Linked DNA regions of Oryzias latipes. The protein of the gene in region 1 interacts with the protein of each later gene in a biochemical or structural test. Links are inferred from orthologs where the notes say so. Each region holds a gene or a part of one and is shown in the gene's direction. Other genes may lie near its edges.

Evidence for each region. The genes of interacting proteins can lie anywhere in the genome.
Region 2: the proteins of tfap2a (region 1) and kctd15 form a complex in vitro, tested with the Homo sapiens proteins (2 studies listed by BioGRID, with this or other methods). The link is inferred for Oryzias latipes from reciprocal best matches to the Homo sapiens genes TFAP2A and KCTD15.
Region 3: the proteins of tfap2a (region 1) and cbp/p300-interacting transactivator 3 form a complex in vitro, tested with the Homo sapiens proteins (2 studies listed by BioGRID, with this or other methods). The link is inferred for Oryzias latipes from reciprocal best matches to the Homo sapiens genes TFAP2A and CITED2.

The regions. Positions count from the first base shown.
Region 1 is NC_019878.2:13,124,721-13,132,475, reverse strand, and holds the start of tfap2a (transcription factor AP-2-alpha), read left to right. Parts: upstream 1-3,690; 5' UTR 3,691-3,926; coding exon 3,927-3,977; intron 3,978-5,167; exon of another isoform or gene 5,168-5,780; coding exon of another isoform or gene 5,781-5,807; intron 5,808-6,201; coding exon 6,202-6,621; intron 6,622-7,516; coding exon 7,517-7,565; intron 7,566-7,755.
Region 2 is NC_019861.2:30,681,243-30,688,794, reverse strand, and holds the start of kctd15 (BTB/POZ domain-containing protein KCTD15), read left to right. Parts: upstream 1-2,862; 5' UTR 2,863-4,672; coding exon 4,673-4,875; intron 4,876-7,552. UniProt on the Homo sapiens protein: During embryonic development, it is involved in neural crest formation. Inhibits AP2 transcriptional activity by interaction with its activation domain.
Region 3 is NC_019874.2:22,628,288-22,635,982, forward strand, and holds cbp/p300-interacting transactivator 3, read left to right. Parts: upstream 1-3,005; 5' UTR 3,006-3,222; intron 3,223-3,932; 5' UTR 3,933-3,937; coding exon 3,938-4,696; 3' UTR 4,697-5,364; downstream 5,365-7,695. UniProt on the Homo sapiens protein: Transcriptional coactivator of the p300/CBP-mediated transcription complex. Acts as a bridge, linking TFAP2 transcription factors and the p300/CBP transcriptional coactivator complex in order to stimulate TFAP2-mediated transcriptional activation.

The DNA.
Region 1 (7,755 bases):
TTAAGTTTGGGCTGAATTTAAGAGAGGGACGTGGACTCGATAAGTTGTCAAACTTCATCCAAAAGCCTTTTTGAACTTTGCATATGGTCATTTATAATTATACTTCTGTTAGATGTTTATTTTTTATCTTATCAGTTTGAAACAAAATTAGAATATATAATAGGTATTATTAACAACAACATTGTCGCTGTTCATATTATCATCCAAAATGAAGAGACGATGGAAAAGCTTCAGTAATGCTTTTACATTAATTCCGTTTTCTTTTAAAAACCACTAGATGGCACCACAGGATTACCATTCGTCTTTCCAACTTTACCAACAATGTTTAGGTTGATCCTAAAATATTGTGTTTTTGCTTGCATTAAAAAACAGAAGTATTTACAAAATGTAGCAAAAAGACATGACTGACAACACTGTGTTTCATAAAACAAAAAAATGAACAGACTTTGCCTGAATTATGATTAAACTCAGCAAAAAATAATGATAAATAAGGTAAATTTACCAAGAATGTAAAAACATATTTATTTTTTTCCTCACTTGTTAAAGTTTCTGCTTTCCTTTGAGCACTTTTATTTTATTTTTTCCTGTAGCGCATTGAATCTTCAGACAGTAAGTCGTCCTTCATGCTGTTCCTCTGAAGGGAGAAAGGTGGCGCAAGAACACAATTTATAGCAGTCATAAAGCTGCGTGGACTCAAACTCCTGTAATTGAATTCTGATTTTGAAGTTTATCTTTTTATTTTTCCTTTTTTTTTACTCTGGAGAGGAAGTGACATGACAAAGATCCTTGAGGGGCAAGGAGTGAAGACAAGTAATAATAATAATAATAATAATAATAATAATAATGATAATAATAATAATAATAATAATAATAATAATAATAATAATAATAATAATAATAATAATAATAATAATAATAATAATAATAATACGGGAGTTTTCAGGGGTCAGCATGTGGTTTCTGGAATATGCCGGAGGCCTATTGCTGTGCTGAGTTGTGGTGGAAGTGGCTGAAACTGAACCCCCATAGAAAGGCAGCATATTCAAGCAGGACTGCGCAGTTCCCTGAGAAACAGTTCTACTTCAAAACTTACAACTGCCCTGCGTAGAGCCCCAAACAATAATTCTGCCCCCCACCACACGCACACACATACACGCACACACACCTCCCCTCCTGTGAAAGCTCTTCTTTGTCCAGGTCCTTATGGCTGCAGGTACTGCGCGCAGTTAAAACACAGCTTGCCTTTGAAGTCAAACTTAAAGGCTTGTTTTTAAATATTAACACCGAAAAGAAGAAAATCTATTGACTCCTCGCGGAATTCTGCATGTGTAGGGAAAAAAAAGGGGAGATAAAAACAAACAAAAAGTTGAAATCGGAGTATTAATTTTAAAACTACAATGCTGCGAGGATTTCATTCATGTGACAGCAGCGGGATCATCGTGCTCGCTGCTGTAGCCATCTTTGTGTCTGTTTCTCTGTGCTTTTCTTCAAAAACCTCAATGGACAAAAAAAAGAAAAGTTTTTTGGACTAAAAGAAGCTTTCACGGATGTCACCTATGTGCACGCGCACATGTTGCTCAGCTTCACGTGTGCGTGTAAAGTGCGCGGATGAGAGGGGTAGAGCTCATTCGCTCTTGGCCTGAGGTAAGTATGTATTAGAAATAAACAGTTGATAAATAAAAAATGATCCCCAACAAAAGCAGAGCATCTTCCTGTAGGAGCTGATGCTGAGAGGTAACCTTCAAGTTTTTATTTCTTTTTTTAAGTCGACACATTCATTTGCAGTAAGAGTTCATGCTTTACTTTCATAATGTATGGACAATTAAATATATACGTAAATTTTCAGTTTTATCCCTATTAAATTGAAATATTTATGATTTTGTTTCACCTTATTTTTAGTGTATTTTAAATGTTTTCCAATACATTATCATTGTAAATTAAATTAACCAACAACAACACTCATTTCTAATGTATCTGCAAATGTATGGCATTATTCATTTGCTTTTCTGATTTAAAAAGTGCTGCAATAAAAAGATTATAGGCTGTGAGTCAGAAAAGCAGACCCACAGGGCCTTTTTCACTTTTCCTCAGGTACGCCACTTTAGTTGTATTTATTTTTTATTTTTTATGTATCCACACCCGGTTTGGATTGCGCATGCGTCACCAGGTATGCCCCGCACCATTTTTTTCTTTTCTTTCATGGACAGGTAAGACGATTGGTTCTAGGTGAAAAGTAAAGGTTTACTTTGGGACCGGAGGCTTAATGAGAGGAGCAGCTCAATACAAAACAGAAAACGCAGAAGAAGACAAAGAATGTCAATTATGGGGGAAATAGGGGAATGGCAGGTATGTGTGACTTCACTTTCAAGACAAGAAGAAAAAACTGAACAAATCTATATGAACTGTCAACTTGTTTGCTTGTTTGAACACGGAGCTGGATGTGAGAGATCTCTTCAGAAAAAAGAAAATGATCTATCATTTGAGAGTGTTAAAGTTGCTTTATCTGTGAAAATCAGCAAGAATTTGATCCAAGAAAACATTTAAAAAACAAATTTCGCTGATTAATTAATAATGCTTGGTAGGAAGGACTGAAAAATATTTTTTATCTTTTGAATTTTTTTTCTTTTCCCAGTTTAGCCCAGTCTGTTTAGTTTAGCCATTATTGAATTCTATTACTTCATGTTCTTTATGATTTCATGTTTATTATTCAATTACCGGTATGAAGCCCATTGAGACGACTATTGTTTTAGTATTGGACTATATAAATAAAATTGAATTGAACTGAAATTGTTTAGTTTTTAAATTATAATTTGCAGGTTTGAGTTTGTATCCAGACGCAAATGTAACTTTTCGCCTTTAATTCCTGGCTGCCCCAGGTCCGGTGCGCACACGGATATCTGACCTCTCCGGTCTGAATCTGCAGATTTTACCAAACAACTGTCCTTGTATTTCTGTCAAGTGAGAAGCTGAAACAACCCAAGAATCGTTTCTGGTTTCATTCGGTCAATCGCTTTCATCGCCTCAGACTCATTAATAACAACTGACTGAGAAGGGAAGAAGAAGAAAAAAAAAGAGTTACTCCACCAAAAATGGTAATCTGGGTTTCAGGCAAGAAAGAGCCAACGCCTTTGCAGAGCTGGCGACCTGTCTGCTGACCCACGACCTGCTGAGGTGCAGGCTCGACCGGCGACAGGGCAGAGCCAGGCTCCCCCCCGGCCGCTCATTCAAATGAAACAAGGCCTTGTTGTTGTGTTAATTATTGACACCCCCCTCCTACCCAAAACCTCGCTACCTTACAGGTAGTCAATGGACCTGTAGTTGGAAAAGCTGACTTTTTCTTTTACATAACATTGTCAGGAAAGCCTGTGAAGATCTCAACTCAATGGGATTAAAATAACACATCAGTTTAAGGGGGAGTAACAAATAAATGATCAACGTGAAATTTGGGTGATTAACTTCAGAGCAAATCCAGCAATTGAAATGTATTTCTTTAAATGTGGCCTTAAGGATTTATCCACATTTTTCTTGAATAATTTAAATAAATAAAAAAATATTTGCTATATGTTAAGATACAAAACGACAGTCCCAGGTGCAGGTTTCCACATCCCCTCCCTTCCACGGGCGAACACACCTCACCGCGCAGCAGAAACAACAAAGGAGCTGGAGACTTTTACCTGTCCAGTGGTGTTTGTGCGTGCAGATGAGGGGGAATCAGAACTGCTGTTGATATGCTAATGAGGCCCTTATGCCAGCGTTGTTCCAGAACTGCTCCAGCCCTTCACTTTCACCATTAGAGGGAGACCTCAGAGCGCGAGACAGACAGCAGCTCGCAGCTTCAATAAAAGTAGTTTTTTCTGAGCGGGGGAGCACAATTCACCGAGTGAAAACAAGACTAAGGTGATACTCAAAAGCCACCTCAACGTCCCATGAAAATGCTCTGGAAATTAACTGATAACATTAAGTATGAAGATTGCGAGGTAAGAACAACTTTTCCAATTATTTTAGAATTTTGTCTGCATTTTTTTAAAGTAAAATTTAAAAAAAGGTGTTTCACTTTTCTAAATCAAACTTATTAAATGCAGAAATTACAAAATAGATTTTTCATTGATTTATATAAATTATAAAATATTAAAAACACAATAAAAAGTATTACTAATAAAAACAATGTTCGTTTTTTAGTACAAATTACTTCATATTTAAATAATGACACGTGCATACATACAAATGTTAACATGCACTTACCATTTTAAAGGAGTTACGCGCGTAAAAGCTTGGTGCAGTCAGTTTTATTTAATGATTAAATGACATCCACATGTCCCCTTCACTATGCGAGTTGGACTTGTGAAAATGTGCGTGTGAAGTGTCTGCGTGCATCTTTGTGCGCAGCGCACATTGCCTGATCATTGTTTTGGACATAGTCAAAGTTTAGCAGACATATCGGTGGCTTGTTTGAGGGTGGAGAAGCCAGTCAAACGAGTTTTTTTTTATTTTTTGTGGGGTTCTTGTACGCACTCGCGTCTTACATGGGAACGGACAGAGCTGATCAAACAGAAAATAAATTGACGTTTGTGTGAACATATTTTTATTTACTTATTTTTTGTTATTTCCTCCTTTGATCAAAATAATGTTTAGATTAGCATTTGAAGTCTGGTAATGGCTCATTGTTAGGTGATTTTGGAGATAAGGAAGGAAGTGAATCTTTGGAAGCCGTGCGTTAAAAGTTCGTTAATGCGCCTGATCCAACGGACCGATCTTAGAGCGTAATTTTGTTTTCCCTCGTCTTTCCGGGTTAAAGTTAAAGCTTGCCCGCGCTGTTCCGTGACTTAGAGCCGAAGAAGAACTGGTTGGATTAAAATCAGTGGAATCGAAAGCAGGAGAGAACCATGGAGGACGGCTCCGTGTCTGAGGCAGAAAACAAAGGGGCAGACGGTCGGAATGAGTCGATCGGTGCTTCTCCTGCCGGATTTTCACCAACTTCAGAGGTGCACATTATTTCCTCCTCTCGCTCCGTCTGCCTCCTTTCATTCCTGTCTTTCTTTCACTTTTGCGCTTTGGCCCTGGAACTATTTCCAAATGCGCTCCCTCCTCCTCCTCCCCCTCTCTCTGATTCGCCAGGCGAGTGAATGTCCCTCTTTTTTGTCTCCACTCCCCTCTCCCTCTTTCTCTCTCCCTCCCCATCCCTGATTAGATATACTGATTCCTCCTTTCAATGGACGTCATTTAAGCGTAGACTCCTGCCTTGAGTTGCGTCCTCTGCTTCACGCCAGATTTCCGACCATTCTTTCCTTATTATTTAGGATTCCTGTAATATTAATGGTCACGAATGCGTTCCATTAGGAGTCCAAGAGGGAGAAGCGGCTCTTTTGGCTAATATGAGCTCAAGCGAGGGGACGGTAGCACTGTGATAGAAGCCGGGGGAACGCAGAGAAGAGAGGGGCTGCCAAGAGAAACTTTTTTAGCCCAAATCCACCAGCAGCGCCGCGTCTTTTTATTATTTTTTTTATTATTTTTTTATTTTTACACCCCTCCTGATTTTGTAGACGCAAATGAGGGGCGCCTCGGATCTTACCTTTTACTTCTGATGGATTATCGTCCTGCTGTTGAGGCACATATCTGATCTCCGGGGCCATCGCGATCGTGCAGGAGAGAAGAGTCTTCTCGGGGGGCTTTTTTCTCCTTTCTTTTGCTGGCTGATTTTGCCCCGCGAAGTCCGTGTTTTTGACCTGATTGCTGCTGGGTTTTTCTCTTTCTGTTGAGGCGCACCAAAAAAACCCTTACAGATGTTAGTGCACAGTTTTTCCGCGATGGTAAGTTTCTGGAGCTTCACTGTATTTTTTGCGTTTTCAAAAACATTTTATTTTATAAATTTTATCTTTAAAGTAAAAAAATTCAGAATAATCTAAAAAAATGTATAGAAATTTGGATTTATCTACACCCATTGATTTGTTCTCAGATGTAAATTGATTTCTAAAAAATATATTGTTGTATTTGAGTCTTTTAGGGCCACTAATTCTTAGGAAATGTGTTTTCTTTGCAAATTAAATTTTGATATTTGTCTGTAAAAAAATCTACTAATGCTCATACTTCCAGGTCATAATCTCTGATAAAAAAGCCCGCAGAGCATCCAAACAGCATCAAACCAAATTCATTTAAAATTCATCTCGACTAAAAACATCCTTTTGTTCTGTCCCCACCTGCCAGGACCGTCACGACGGCACCAGCAATGGGACAGCCAGGCTACCTCAGCTGGGCGGCGTGGGCCAGAGTCCGTACACGAGCGCCCCTCCACTCTCCCACACGCCGAACTCAGACTTCCAGCCCCCGTACTTCCCACCGCCCTACCAGCCCATCTACCCGCAGTCTCAGGACCCGTACTCGCACGTCAACGACCCTTACTCCCTGAACTCCCTGCACGCCCAGCCGCAGTCGCAGCACCCGGGCTGGCCGGGGCAGAGGCAGGGCCAGGAGAGCGGCCTGCTGCACCAGCACCGCAGCCTGCCACACCAGTTGTGCCGGGAGTACCGCAGGGAAGTGCTTCTACCGTCCGGCCACGGCATCGATACAGGACTGTCGGACTCTATCCAAATCCATGGAATACCTCACCCTTTAGATGACGTTCAGGTGAGGCTGCGCTCCTTCTTCTTTTTTATTCATTTATTTTTGTTGATTTTTTTAAAAAGTCTATTACACAACACCATATCTTTCATTGTGGTATTAATTTATCCTGCAACACGCCTGCATCTGAATTAAAATATGTATTATCATATTTAAGTTTTTTTAATGGAAATTTTTTCTAACAGAGCACGAATAAATTATTTTAATTAACTATTTTTTTCAAAAAAATGCCATTTCTATTAAACTAAAAATATTTTTTTTAATTTTATTTAATTTTAAAACGGAATGCTTGTCAGTTTGGATGATTTTGATATTATTTTATAGCTAAACAAATGGAATTGGTCATGTTAAAGTCGATTTTCGTTGGATTTTCTAAGTATGTCATTTTGTATTAGAGCTCAGCGTTTCACAAAGTGCAGCTTCCACGCGAACAACAGCGTTGTAATACATTACATGCTTTCTAACAAGAAAATCGAGTTTACTGTATTGAGTTGTGCTGCTCTGATATTGTCAATAAGCCTCTTTCTTTTTTTCCCCTCCCAGTGTTTAATCAGAAACAAACACCAATAATTCTCTAATTAGTTCATAGGCCTTTAATAGGCTGCGCTGGCGTAATTACTATCCAATCTAGATTAGAGGTTTCCTTATGAGAAGAGCCAATCTAAAGGCGAAATTGGGTCAGGATTATGGGACGACACTGCTTCGTTATTTAAGTCTGCACGTCCACCCGCTGAAAAGCACCGGTGGACAATAATAAGAGAAATTGGCCCAGAGAAAACGGGAAACATTGGCTGCTAATTGTGTTTGGCTTTGTTCGTCCTGAGATGCCTTTACGCACAAGTATGGCTGACTTTTCGTGGCTTTGCGCACCAAAAATTGATTTGATGTTTTTGTGTCACAGCCTGAGGATCAAGGAATTCACATTCCAGACCAGACTGTAATTAAAAAAGGTAAGATATTTCCTCTGAGATATCATGCATGTTTTTTTTTCCAAGCTGCACACGTCTTAGATACACCAACAACACACACTCCGTTCCCTATTCTGCTTGAAAGAACCCGATGCGGTAATGCCTGACTGATCCTAATACGCAGTAGCCTATTTTTCATTACATGGTTTCCAAGTGCATCAAACTGGCTGCA
Region 2 (7,552 bases), on another chromosome or scaffold:
AGGGGGGGGGGGGGGTCATTTTAATCAGGACCCATGTGCAGGTGGGGTTCGGTCCAATACCTGCAGAGGTGCAGGTCAGGGGGGCAAACCTCTGATTCTTAGCTAAACTGGAAGCTCCATGCAAATTTGCGTGATGACCTACTTCTTCCACACAGACACTGATAAAATCCATAAATTAAGGAAATTAACTGATGGGGCCCGGGGCCACTTTGTAAGCTATTTAAATCTTTAAATTTACAACATCCCTGCATACTTCATGTAATTGAACTAACTCCAGGCTTGTTTCCTTTAATGAGAAAAAAAATCTAGTTTCCCCTCCAGTTTGGACCCCTGGTAACAACAAATCTCTGCCAGGGGGGAAGATGGGAGCGCTCTGAGGCACGCAGGGGTCTCTCTAATTATGAAAACTTGCCCTGCTTCAAGGAGAGACACGTCCTCACACTCCCATCCATCTCTGCTGGTAAATATCAGGAGTATTTTTTTAACTGGGTGACTTCAAGCAATTTCAATGGTTGAAAATCGATACTTCAATGGAAAAATGGACACATGAGGACCAATATCAAAGCCGGATCTAGGCATGGCATAGGGGGGAGTGGCCCCTCAATGCAATATACCTCCCAAAACGTGATGGCCCACAATAATCTTCAATTAACCACAAAAAAACTCACAAAAATAAACACAAAAAAACCTCTAAAAAAACAGAAAATAAAAATAAAATGAAAGAAAAAAAAATGTGTGGACGACATAAAGATAGACTAACATAAAAAGAAAATAAATGCAGCCTCAAAAGGGCACCGAAGACCAGTGTCCTGCTTGTGCCTGTCCCAAGTCTGGAAATTGCAGAGGGTATAGTGTCAGGAAGGGCATTCAATATAAACCTTGTGAAAAAGTAAATATGTCAAAGGAGAAGATACATATGTGGATAGATGGACTGATATGTGACAGTGTGGTTTTCTGTGCATTTTAAGGACTTAGTGATATGACACCCCAAACTTCCAGCACTTGACTCGTCCCCTGATATTCTACTTGCACCCCATAGAGAGGCTGGCTAAATCCGGGCCTGATCAATGCCCTGAAAGAAAAAGAAAAAAAGGTTAAAAGTGCAACATAAGAAAGAAAAACTTGCATATGCATAAAAAATGCAGTCAATAATTTTACCAAATAACCAAAAAGAGCCATGTAAAAGCTATGGACCAATAACAAGTTCCTACACTGGTTGGCGCCAAATGCCAAGAAACGAGCGTCAGGCCTCTCTCACGAAGCCGGTACAGGATAATTACCGGGCTCAATGTTGCATCAATTATTCACAGTTATTTACCCGCAAATAAACAAACACTCAAATAAATAAATAATGTCTCCTCGGTGTGAGCACCTGCTTCTCCCCTCTGCAAAAGTGGCGCAACACTTGTGCGCCGCGCCGCTTGCATTGTGTCGCCCTGCTGCTAGAAAATAACAATAATCATGCCACAATCTTCCTCTCCAAAAGTCCGGAGGCTGCCTGCTTTCACCGGGGAGTGAGGAGGAGGAGGGAGAGGAGGAGGAGGAGGTGGATTGGGGGGGGGGGGGGGTGCTCTGTACAGATATCTCCATCTAAGCCCTGCGCTATAATTGAAATGGCGCATTTGGCTGCAGGCAGGTTGTGAGGGCGCTTTCTGCAGCAGCATGCATGCATGTCCATAGACGTCATTTGATTTTTAATGGCCTGCAGGAAATTTGGCGGTGCAACTCCAGACATTAAGGCAAAGGATAGAGGGAGAGGAGAAGAGAGCGAGGGCACGACGGAGAAAAAGCCCCACGTTTAAGATACTCATGGATTTTTCCTTTTTTTTTTAAACATATATTTTTTCTTTGACTACGACTTTATCAACAAGTTATTGCGCCTTTTGTGATCCGCCGCCTGAGTGAAGGATATGGCTGCCTAAACTTCAAATTCAGGCTGAAGATGCATTCCTTCTAACCGGACTGCTTTGGAATTATGAGAAGAAATGTCAATCATTAAAATCTACATCTAAATCTGGCAACTAATAGATGCCTATCAGGCTCCCGCCCCCCTCAGAATCCTAACTTTGAACCTTCAGAATGAGCGGTCTACTTTTGCCCTAAAAAGCCAAAAAAAACTTATTGTATCTGTGTAGCCATAATTTCTGGAATAGGGGAGTATCACGTTCTCTTCCTTGAGAAAATTGCCAGGGCGAGAGAGTGGAGTTGAGCTAATTGTAGCCTAATCCCTGGCCCAGAGGCGCCTGGGCAGCCCGGAGCAAGAATTTTCTTTTTTAGCTCCGCTCTGTTATTTAGAGAAGGATTATTGGCTTTCTTCCTCTCATAACAAACCACAGGGGCAGTTTCATTTAGGCAAAAAAGACAGACAAGAGGCAGAAAAACGAAGCAGGACTCCGGCAAGAGCGCACATTTTACGCGTATCCAAATAAGAGCAGAGAAGGGGAAGGAGATCATCTCATCTATGTTCAAGGTAAGGACGCTTCCTGTGCGCTTTGGTACAAAGACGCTTGGTGAGGACAGGTCGAGCCAGCCTTGCGATAGAGCCTTTAAAGCTACAGAGACTCTTTGAAAGCAGTCGATCCCGGCCACATCCCAGTGTCTTATAGAAAGCTACTTTCTGCGGGATTCGGACGGAATATTTTTTCGTGCAGCAGAGGCTATAGGCTCGTGTTGGAGCTGGATGGCGGCGTAGTTTTGACAGAAACTCGTTTGGAGAAAAAATTGAGGGTTAAACGCGGACAGCAGCTGCGACTGACCGCCGGCACGGATTTCATCTGGACTCCCTACAATGTTTGAAACGGTAGGGTGGCTGCTTATTATCACAGAAATCACTGGTTTTTACGCAGAGCGCAGGCTGCTCCGCAGGGATTTTAGGAGAACAGTTGAAGAGGACTGTCCGGGCTTTCGCTGGACCTTACGGGGGTCTCCTTATCCTCTGCTGAACGATTTTCACACGTTTAGCTTTAAGTTACACATGTGGGACTGTTTTTTTTTCCCTTACAGCGGGAATAAGACGCCATATTGAGCTTTTTTTTAGATTAGACAAGAGACAGAGCGGGCTGGTGCCGTTCGACGAGCGGAACGGACCTTTTATGTTTGTTTTGTCATAATGATTAGTACTGCCTTTTCACGGGGGGAACTGTGTGGATTTCATTGATCAGGAGTGAAGGGGGCAGACAGGGTCAGAGGCTGTGGAGATAAAGTTGATGCCTTTATATCAGATTTTGTGGCGGAATGTGTTTTATTGTGTGATTCATTGCCCGTGTTCCTGGTGCGTCTGTGAGGGAGGGGGCTCATGGAGAAATGGCAGAAATAGTGATGCAGTTTTTTAAGGACAGTGATGCATTCAAATACACGAATGTGCTTTGTGTGTGTGTTTTTTGATGAACTGGTTGTGTGGGCTAGAGGGGGCAGAAAGGCGCACCGACGGTGGGACGGACCCGGGTGTGTTTGTGACCAAAACTTTATTTGAGCTCCTCTAAGTTTTTTTCATTTCCCTTTTTTATTACAGTTTTCATGGGATTTGAAATGTAATCCCTCCTGCCTGTAATCACTTTAAAAGAACACGATACCACTCTGAGGAAGTAGAGGGGAAAAGCCCCACTTTGAGCCCTGTGGCTCCTCTCTCAGCGCCGCGGGCGTCATCTGTACTTTCACAAATGCCATCACTTAAGTAAATAAGCCCACATTTTCTAAAACAGCCTTACTTGTGAAAATGTTTGCTTTTTGCTTAGTTTTGACCAAAAAATGTTTCTAAGGTGGATCTGTGTCTGTTATCATGGTTTTAAATTAAGTGGAGTTTAATTTGGAAATCTGAGGCCAAATTCAGGTAGTAGTGGACGTATAATCTCTGTTGGCTAAAATTACGCACCTGCAGGATGGACGTATGAGCTCAAATAGTTATAAAAATTGTTTTGCAAAAACACAACCAGTTAGACGAAACAAGCTCATCGCGGATTTCTGAGTGTTCCCGGTGACCCCAGAGCAGCAGCACGTTGGGTTATTGGAGTATGGGAGAGGAGGTTCACGGAGAAGAGCACTTATTGTTTTGGCCTGTGGCAACGCGCTCGTTTTTGTCTCTGAGCTCCGGTGCGTTTTTACCCACGTTTGGAGTGCACGCGCTAAGGACGATTGCACAAACTCCAAATGTGCGCACGTTTGGAGCCCATGCAATCGTTCTCAGCGTAGTCACACGACGGGAGAACACCTAATCCTTGAGTGTCTGAGTGTGTTTGGGGGTATTTGTGTGCGTTGCGGAGGAAAGTTGCGCCCTCTCTTCCCGCTCACAGATTGGAGCTTGGCGTGTCTGGGCGCATCACGTCTAACACATAAGGCGACCTTTAATTAGAATATTGCAGTAGCAGTTTATTTTATCTCCCTGGAGGCTGACACCTAGCATCGCCCACCCCCGCCCTCACCTCCTCTCCCTTCCCATCTCCCTCTCTCTCACCCATGTTCTCTAATAAGCATCCTCCTATCCTCGCCTGCGGTCCTGCATGAAAAGATGCAAACATACTTAATTAGAGCGGTGACAATAATTTCCAGGCTAAATATGCGACCAGACAGACATGGAAGTGATCTGATGCCATTCAGAGAGGATACCATCTACTTCCCTGTCTAGAATCACAGTTCAGACTTTTTTTTCCCCTCCTCATCCTTGACTTGCATTCCCATGGCTTTCCTCTACACCTGCTTTCAGGAGGGAAGAAGCATGTCACGACTGTCTCTGACCCGGTCCCCGGTCTCTCCTCTGGCCGCCCAGGGGATCCCTCTGCCGGCTCAGCTGACCAAAGCGAACGCCCCCGTGCACATCGACGTCGGGGGACACATGTACACCAGCAGCCTGGCGACCCTCACCAAGTACCCGGACTCCAGGTAGGACGACTTTCTTTCACACTCTATTGTATTTATTATTATTATAAATATGTTTAAATGAAGCATTAAAAATGAAGGCAATCCCACAGTTATCCTATATCCCAAATCCCTTCTTGCAGACCACAATGTTCTCTTAATCTCCACTTTCCAAGATCTAAAGTTATGATAGTTTTTGATTTATTAGTGACTAAAGTTTGTTGATAAACAGCTTGCAGGCTTTTATGCATCCTTCCAGAGGTGTAAATTAAGATTTCAACTGCTGCACATGTTTCTCTGCTGAAGGCTCTGAAAGTCTTTGTGGGAATTTACAGTATATGGAATTTTTATTCTTTTTTTTTTTTTTTTGCAATGAACTCCAATCCTTTCGCAAGTTTTTCAACTTTTTTTGTTGTCAGTGGATCTGAGTGCTGTGAGGAATCCTTGGAGAAAAAAACAATGATGTAAAGATTTGAAATCATTTCATCACATCTGCTGTAGGACAGCTTCAAATGTGATTGAAGTCCAGTTCATTGGCGGGTTACATATTGACTTTCTTTTCAGCTCCAGCTTTAAGCACTTTTTTCTCTTGAACATCTTCTTTATTTTGGGGACATATTCCTTATTTTGTATTTAAATTAGTTTAAAACTGACCTCCTGTCCTGTTAGAATTATAAAGACTTTTGATTCTTTACAATGTGACAGAAAAGTCCCCATCATTCTGATCGACCTCCAGTTGTGAGATTTTATGATCCTGATTGATAAAAATCCCAAATCATACCTTTTTCAAAGAAATCCTTTTTTTGTCCACATATATTCTCAAAAGAAGAAGAAATCTCAAACTTCTGTCCCGGCTGAATTGCATTATCTCCCTGAAGCGTTCATGTCTAATGTATCATTCATGATATTACAGTGAATCCCATGTGGGCCAAAGTAAACGAACATAAGAAAATCAGCCAAACTGGCTACAGGAAACAGTCCATGTATTCCACTAGTAATAAAATCTTGATCGTCCACTGACGGGAAATCCCTGACAGCTCTGGCTTTGATACCAACACACCATGAGAAAAGTGAGTTTAACTCATAGGAAGGATTTAAGTTGATTTGGATCAGACGTTCTGGCCACCAAAGGTTATCTTAGGTCACCTCTGATTTTTTTTTTTGCTTGTTTGTTTGATTAAGTGCCATTTCCATCACTATGTATGCTTTTTCTGCAATCTTTCTTTCTCTTTCCATGGCTTTATTTTTAACAAAGAAGTTATTGAAAGAGCGGGCTCACAGGGCGCCGCGCACATGCCGCATAGAGCAACGTCAGAGCATCCAAACAGTGTTTTCACAGAAAAAGGCCGGATATCGGTGTCGGTTGGAGCGCTCTTTCCCTCTTCTCTCTTTTTCACACATGCTCCTTTGCTCTTTCTTTCTCTCTTCTTGTCTCCCTCTTTCTGTCTCTTGCTGTTTCTTTCCCACTCTTGATCACACACACAAACACACACCAACGCACACACACTGCTTCTCCCACACTCCCAGCCGCCTCAGCGTACACTCGCCCTCCGGGCTCCACTTTCCACTGAAGCCAGTGGAAGGAGGGGCCCTTTTGTGTGAATTAGGATAATGGCTGACAGCAGAAAGCAAAACAATTACACTGGCATAACCATGTGTGCCGCGTTCAGACACATCCGGTCGAGCAGGGCACGCAGGAAAAAAGCAGAAGAAGAAGTGACAACCAAAAGGAGAAGTTAAAGAGTTTGAAGCCGCTGATTACTTTTAATAGATCGGTCCTTAAATAATGCAGGATGCCAAGAGAAAGTTAGTCTAGTAACTAATGTGTGCTCATTCATCTTCTTCTGTGTGGGCCATATTAAGGGACAGGGGTCATAAAACATTGATGTGCACTCTGTGTAGCTCTCAAAGAGGACAGTCTCGGCACTCGACGAGAAGCTGAGGAAATTAGGGCAAATGTTTCTGAGACAAAGAAACTGTTTGAAAGGACCATTTTGCTCTTTTGGAGGATTCTGTTGTGAACAAGATCTAATAGATTTGCTCCAGTTCTGCAGTTCAGAAGTTTCTTCTTTTGGAAAAAGAAGTTAGTCTGGCATCAAGGGTTTGTTGTAAGAAAAAGTGGATATTTTATTTTTATTATATTGTCTGAATTTTAAGGCTTTTCTTAACCTCCTGACTGTCAGCAGTGCAAATTTGTCCTCTTTAGAGGACATTTCTGTACTTGAATATCCCCAACCACTGAAGTAACTCCTTTTGGTATCTACAGAGAACATCTGGGGCTTTTCTCAGTGATACCAAATGTGAATGGGTGGGGCTCTGGGAGTTGTAGTTTTTAATCGATTTTATTTTTTTTAATGGTGGAATTCATCCCAACTTCATGGGGTGTTTACATGAAAAGCACATAAATTCTGTCATTCTTCGTCATTGGTCATATGAAAGGGGATTCTCCTCTTTGGTTTTGTACCTACATGAACCTGATTACACTTTTTCCACAAGTTAAAAGATTTATCCGTTGTGCTATCCTATGGTGTCCAGATGACCCGATCCTTACATTGACGTGTTATCCCTACCAGGACAAAGGTGAATAAAGGTGGAGTGGATTTAATGTAATCCATAGACACCAGTGAAGATCACAAATCATTGAAGAAAAAGGGTCAGCGCACTGTCATGTGGGGTCCAGATGACCCAACTCCCAATGTTA
Region 3 (7,695 bases), on another chromosome or scaffold:
TAAAGAACAGCTGAACTGTTTAAACTTTAAAAAATTTTTCTTTGAAACAAACTTTTATATTCCAGACCCCAAATGGGTGATTTCTCTTCAAAATTTCGATTTGTTTTTGGCACACAAAAAAGAAGTGGTAAGAGGTGAACTTTATCTCTGACAAAGTGCTGTCCAACATATCAAGTAGCATGCTTTGTGTAGAAAAAAAAGAACCAAAAATAAACAGAGAAATTTAATAAAAGATGATTGAATACATATTTCTTTCTGGAGTGTTCGACAATAAGAAGGGGATGGTGTTGGCTTCTGCATTCTCCGCTAATAACTGATAATACACAATTCATCGGACATTGTCCATTAATAGTTCTAAGCATTTTTATGGATAGAAAAGGGAATGAGGTGGGGGTAAGAAATGTTTTTTACGGTACATCAGCACAAAATTCCGTCTCTCCGTTAATGGTCCCTTCGTCGAGTGAAAATTTCCAGAAGGCACCTTGGATGTTTGCTACAAGTTTGAACCAGTTGGAATGAGAATTGGCTCCTTCAAGTCTGAGGTCATACTATTCAGTCAAAAATGGTGGACTTTCTTCTTCGTTTAGGGAATCAGGTGCTGTGTTATCTGGAGGAAATTTAACATCTATGAGGCTTGTTCACAAGTCATGGTAGATTGACATGCAAATTGGGACATCTACAGGAAATGTAATCATAACTGATGTTTTACACATCAAACCACATTTCAACTCAATCTGAGTCTGCATTCCTCTGGTCAGATTTGACCTCCATATATGTGTGAAAAAATGGATAAATGCACATATCATTAGCTGTCAGAGCTACTCTTTAGAAATTCAATTGAGTGCAATAATATTCTTACATCTTTCTCAATCTGGATTACAAAAACCACAACAAAAACTCCTGACAGGACTAAAGTCACTCTTTTATTTAATAGTTTGAAAGTGTAATTTACAAAAAACCAAACATTAAGATTATTTATAAAGTTGCAAGCATTTTGCTGACGATGGAGGACATAAAATAATTAAGCCTAAAATTGCTTATCTTAGTATTTCTTTATTCAAACTATTGTAAAACAGGAGCAGACAAAAAATACAGTATGATAATACACTGGGCAGGCCACAAGCCCCCTGCTCCGCTCCATTCTGATAAATCCCCTGGCAGACAAATCAATCCACGTACGTCTTTGTTTTCCTCGTCTTAGTTGGCATCTGGCTCAAAACCGTACAGACGGATAGACGGATGATCAGAGAGGGACTTTAGGAAGAAAAAACAAAAATTAATTTAAAAAAAAGGTGGCTCCAAAGTTACATGTGCACTTTTACGTTAAATTACCTAATCGCCTTACCTAAGAAGAAATAAAAAAGACGTTTAATAATGTGGAATTTTGTTAACTTTTTGCACCATTGAAGTTTGTTCTAAAAAAAAGTGCTTTCAAAAAAACAAACATAAACTTCTCGACTTGGACTCCATGGTTATAGAGTTTTAGGGATGACGGTAGAAAAGAACTCCTCTTTCCCAATTATTTACTAATATTTATTTTATGCTAAAAAGGAAATCCAGCATTGCTAGCCAAACAATCAGTTTCTCGACTGCCTAAACTGACAACTACATTCTGCATATTTCCTTGCTTTGTTTTGTCTGGGTGAGTTAATATCTTACAGGTCTGAAGTCTTTTGCTCCTGCAAACCCAGAAGAGCATAATGCATGCTTTACAGTGTGGTGCAGATTAGCTTTAAATACTTAAAGCCTATTGCACCTACACACACAGTCACATGAACTCTTGTGTGTTCTTTCTTGCTGACATGCAGCCCCACATGCACACACTAAAGTAAGGATGAAAATCAATAAAAGCCTAAAGAAGGTTTGCGACGACTTTCCCCTATAGCAGTGAGCACAGCCAGACATGAGAATAAATCTAAAAAAGAAAGAGTTTTAAAAGGACAGACTAACAGACATTTTACCTAATAAAAAAAAAACACAAGCTGGAATGGAAGCATAATTATATTCTATATTTTCAGCCATAATCATGGCTGATTGGGGTTTTATGCAAATATCTCTGTATTTTAAGCAGATGCTGGGATTTGATTGGTGAGCTCCAGATGCAAGGCACGCCATTAGGAAGATTGGCCCTGGGATGAAAATAAAGGCTGTTTTAATGCATTCTAAAGTGCTTCACTGTTATATTACCTCGAGCTTGTGCAGTCGTGCACTCTCTTGGTTCTACAAAAAGATTGCTGATCCCAGCACAAACTTCTGTTGATTCTGGGTTTTGTTTGCGCTGACTGACTAGCTCAGTTTTTTTTTTCTTTTTTCAAAAGTTTTCTCAACAGGGAGTGACTTTTAAACATTTGCTTTTGGACAATGTCTCACAATCACAACTGCCTGGTACTCTGACAATAGATCAGCTTGCTCCCCCAAAGTGGATGCATTCATTAATGGGTAAGAAGTCATTGTCCTGAAGTGGCCAATCTAGACAAGAGTGAACAGTGGGTGCACACAGATGTACACACACACACACACACACACACGCATGGAGATACATGCACGGTTCCACAAGTAAATAAGGTGAATAAGCACACATGCACAGCAGGAGCTGCACTTGCAGCTGGAGAGGCCACATTCCACTGCGTTGCTTACAAGGAATCACAGAGGACTGCAGACTGGTGGGCTGCATTTGCAGACAGGTATCACAGCGACTTTGCAAGTGCAAATTCCAAGGTAATAACCTTGTAATGCATGTGCAATGAGAACATGAGTGTATTCAGACAATCTGGCAAAATGTCTACTCCATGAGAAAAAAATGTATTAGTCATGCTGACATATTTGGATACGTTTCAAATGTTCTATTTTGAAACAAGTAATTAAAATTAACTTTGCGCTCCAACCCTCCAACGGCCCCTTTTCCTTTACGCCCATGCACAATTGTATTAAGTAGGGCCAATAGGAACAAAGGAGAGGCAGGGCCGAAGCTCCACCCCTCCCTGACTGCCTTCCTCAGAGCTTTTTAGATGTACATAATCCCTGAGTTGACCCAGAAAATAGGCAGTCGTTTCAAGATCTGACGCGGCGGTCGTAGTGCGCACCGTCCCCGCCTGAGCATGAAGCAGACCCCCGTGGAATATAAACCCTAATTCAGAGGAGCTTCACCCCTCCGTGGAGGACGTTTGTGTGGAGAAAGCGCGAGGTGAAGCAAAGTCGCGTAACTTTGTAAAAACGACACGGGTGAGTGATTTTGGTTGCCTTTTTTTTTGGAGACGTATTGCTCCGCGGTGGTCTCAGGGGCTCCTGCTGCTGCTCCATTGTTTGCGGAACCTTGCTTTAAAAAAATCCCACTCATCGTCCTGCGGGGACACCACCGAATCCAAACGATCCCGTTTATTTAATAAGTAAAATCGGGAGTGTGGATTCAATTGTTGGAATTCAGCTGCGGGGTTGATGTTGCATGATGTCAGTGTTCTTTGTTGCAGCGGAAAATGTTGGATATTTCTGCCTCAGCTGTCAGGGAACCGCCGCGGGTACATTTCCAGGATGCTGGCGGATGTTTAATTTTTATTTATTTATTTGGGAGGGGAGAGGGGGTGGTTGGTCATTTCTCGCCGTGCGTAAATTTACGCGTCAAAATGTACACAAACAATGCATGCATGGAACCTGTAATCTCACGCTGGGCGTTCATGCTCTGGCACAATGAGGGGAGGGTTCAGGAAGACTCAACACACTGGCGAGGGTTTCTAGTGTTCGCCAGGAGGTATCACAACCCTGCAGATGTTTGGTTCCAAAGACGATTTCAGCAGCACGAAGAGAGAAAACAACGTTTCAAACTTTCTATATTTTATTTTATTGAAGTTTACTAAAGAAGACAGCTCACCCTGGTAAATATGTTTTTTCTGCAGAAGTTGGACATTGACCTAATTGTGTTTCTTCTGGACACACAGGAGGCATGGCAGATCATCTGATGATGCCCATGAATCACAGCTCAGCAGGCGCCAGTCTCCACGGTTATAGGATGGGCATGAATGGCAGCCTGCAGGCAGGTCACCAGCAGCACGCCAACCAGCAGGGCATGCGGGCGATGCCCAATGGGCAGATGATGCACTATGGAGGCGCTCAGGCCAACATGGAGAATGCCATGAGGCAGCGGCAAGGAATGGTGGGCGGGCCCATGAATGGACAGCTGAACGGAGCTCAGATGGGACACCATCAGATGACCTCCAACAACATGATGTACAACGGGCAGCCTCAGCAACAGCACCACCCTCAACAGCAGCAGCATCACATTCATCCACAGCAGCACCAGCAGCAAGCCCAGCACCCCCAGCAGCAACAGCAGCAGCAGCAGCAGTTCATGAATGGGGGGCTAACATCTCAGCAACTCATGGCTAGCATGCAGTTGCAGAAACTCAACACGCAGTATCATGGACATCCACTGGCTCCTATGAGCGTGAACCACATGGGACAAACAACCCAGTATCGCATGAGCCAGGCTCAGCTAGCCAGCATGCAGCACATGGCCGGTCCAGCTCTGGCCTTGAACGGCATGGATGCAGACATGATTGACGAAGATGTCCTGACGTCACTGGTCATGGAGCTGGGCTTGGACAGGGTCCAGGAGCTGCCAGAACTCTTCCTGGGCCAGAACGAGTTTGACTTTATCTCAGACTTTGTCAGCAAACAGCAACCCAGCACAGTCAGTTGCTAAAAGGACTTTTATTTTGTAAAATGGGGGGACAAACCAAGAAGAAGAGGGTCACAAATCCAGGATGGAGGAAGAGATGATCTCTTTTTGGCTTTTACGTCGAGAGCAGGGACCTGTACAACGGAGTGAAAGTTGGAGAGCAGAGTGCACAGAGAAGAACTCCGGATCTCCAGAGTGAACGCACAAAATGCTCGAGTCTCCTGCGTCTTTTTGTGGCCAAGTTCCTTTTCTCATAGTTCCTGGAAACGAATGTAATAAAGAAATGCTGAAACTGTTAAAAGCTACGCTGAATAATTCTATGACACTATGTAGCCTCTAAGTCTGGACAGTTTTACAGTCAAAAGGTGTATTTATTTATTCCTATCCAAGAAAACTGATATAAGGAAGAGCCACCTCATGTGTTTTGGGATCTAAGTGGTTTTGTTATCTTTTCTGAGAGTAGCTTTGGGGAGAAATCGTATATATACAAGTTCTCTGCTAACAAGCCCCCCCCCCCCCCCAATTCTGTTTGGGTTAGTATTGAAATGAGCTCAAATAACAGTCCTATCTGAACTAGCCTTGTTTTCTTTTAGTTTTTATTTTTTATCACAAAGTCATCCAAACAAAAATGGTTCACTTTTTCCTAAAGTGTTGCCTTTTTTAGATGTGTTTCTTCTCAAAAAAAAAAAAAAGATCTACTGCTTTACTGTATGAAGTTGTATAACTCGGACATTTCCGCACTGTTGTGTTCTAATGGAGATGTAGAACTGCCTTAATCATGCAGATTTTTTATTTATTGGTTGTTTATGTTGTGCCATTTGTTTGTGGTCAAGATTGGAGGGGAGGAAGGGGGTCATTGTGAAGGGGTGGGGGGGGAGGATTGAGGATCAATAAAAAAGAAGAGCTTGGATAGAAGTGTGACCTGCTTTTCCATTCATTGCATAGCTTTTCCCTCAGGCGGCGAAGAGCCGGCTTGTGCCTAATCTGCAGGTGAAAGGAAACTTCGGTTCTCTTTGTAAGCGTGGAGTGATGTTTAACCAGCTGCAATATTTATGATTTTTTTTTTTTACCCTTTTTGAGATCTCATTCAGTTCTGCTGGCAGTCAACCTTTCCACTCTGAAAGCTTTGTGCCTCTGCTGAGAGAGGGATTGACATAAAGGTGTTAATTACCGTTCTCTGCTGGTTTGCAGAAACGGTGCATTACTCGTCAGCTTATATCAGATCTGACGCGTCAGGATGTGATATGCAAATTAGATTTACAGTTTGTCAAATATTAGCTGAGCAAATGACATTCGTTTGACATGAAAGGAGATAAGAAGGACTAATGTAATCCAAATATTTACAGCTTAGGCTAGGAAAAAAAACAACATTTTACCAATATTCGCTTTTGCAGCACTGTAAATGGTCTACAAAGTGTTACTGACTCATAATATCTGATCTAAAATAGTTTTACCAACAGAAAAAGGACCTCTCTATTAGAACTGCTTTTGTTTATGAAACGAGGATGAAGAGTTCCTCAGCGGTGGCTGAGTTTGTTAAATTGTTTTGTGCCTCCAGGCTGTGAAAATGCTTGATTGAGGTCATGTGGGGAATGTCATCTCCATATTGTCAACACGGGCATCTTTAGCAGCATCATGTGTAAAAAAGGGTGGAGGCAATGAGCGCAGTGTGGTAAAAATAGTGTTAGCTGATTGCTCACTTTTTCAGCCAGCCTGCCTCTTAAAGCAGCTCCCTTGGCTCCGTTGTCCACTTGTGCTGATGGCTGATGCGCTGAAGTGCAGTCGCATGATCATTGATGATCCAAACTGAAACACATTTGCTCAAACGTTTCCTATCGCATACCAAGCGCTAGTTTAAGGGGATGTATTTGTGTGTTTGCTTTTCTTGGCTTGACGCTGACAAGAGAATGGCTCATAAGTAGGCCAACGGCCTTGGCACCGTGCCTTGTGACGGTTGCAGGTCCTTTGCTCTGTGCCAATCTGGTGAGATGATCTTCTGGTGTGTGGCACGTTCAGCATTCTGGCGCACAATCAACTCTGTCTCCTCGTATATCTTGTAATTGTACGCTGCTCTGTGAGCTCCTTGTTTTACCCCAATTAAATGTCGAGGTTTTGCTTTGAGACTGTTACTCCATACACTAATGGTTAACTACGCCAAACAGCCTTGTTTGCTCTCCCAATCCCCTGTTATGACTGTACGAGTCCAGTCTAGACACACGCTAAGCAGGGTGGGACACTCAAGAGATGTTTACAGTTACTTGGTTTTTTTTTTCTTGCTTTCTCATTTTTTTTTGCCCACCCAAAGCAACCGCTCAGCACAACGCTTCCTGTGCCGGTTTCTCCGCACATGTCAGACACCAAAAGCCACATTCTCACAGAGGAAGCAAAGGAGAGTCAGTCGTAGAAAAACAATATGGATTTCTCAAGTCCGTTCTGAGAAATTCACTTGAGGGATTTTTTTTTTTCATTTACATCTTGGGGGTTTCTACACGGGCTTTCCCACAGCACTCATAGGATTCTGTTGAAGCTTTAAAAAACAAGACAAGTAGGGTGTACGAAGCAATCCACCATGCAGTCCTAGATCAACCGCTTTTTATTTTTATTTTTTTTTGCCTCAAGTACTATCTACTTTTCTCCTTCCAGGCTCTTGTCCAGCTGGTGCCAAGCCTGAGCTCGTGCTAATCTCTGGCCCAGGCTCTTTTGACGGATTGGTGGTCATTTGCTGTTGTCACGCATGAGCAGGCCTTCACATTCACATACACAGAGTTTGCTCACAGCACCATCAAAAGGGCTTGTAGGGGATGTCTCGATATCAGCGTAGAGAGGTTTATACTGTTTCAACTTTTTTGTTTCAGGTTTCTGTAGATGCATTAGAATCGTAAATGAGCAGCGAAAGGAAAGTCAAGAGTAGAGAGGCCGTAAAATCATTTCAAAACGGCATGACTAAACTAAGTAACTGTCATTTCACAACAGTAAACACAACAGTTTCTCAGACACAAGAAAACATAAGAAATTGGTGTATA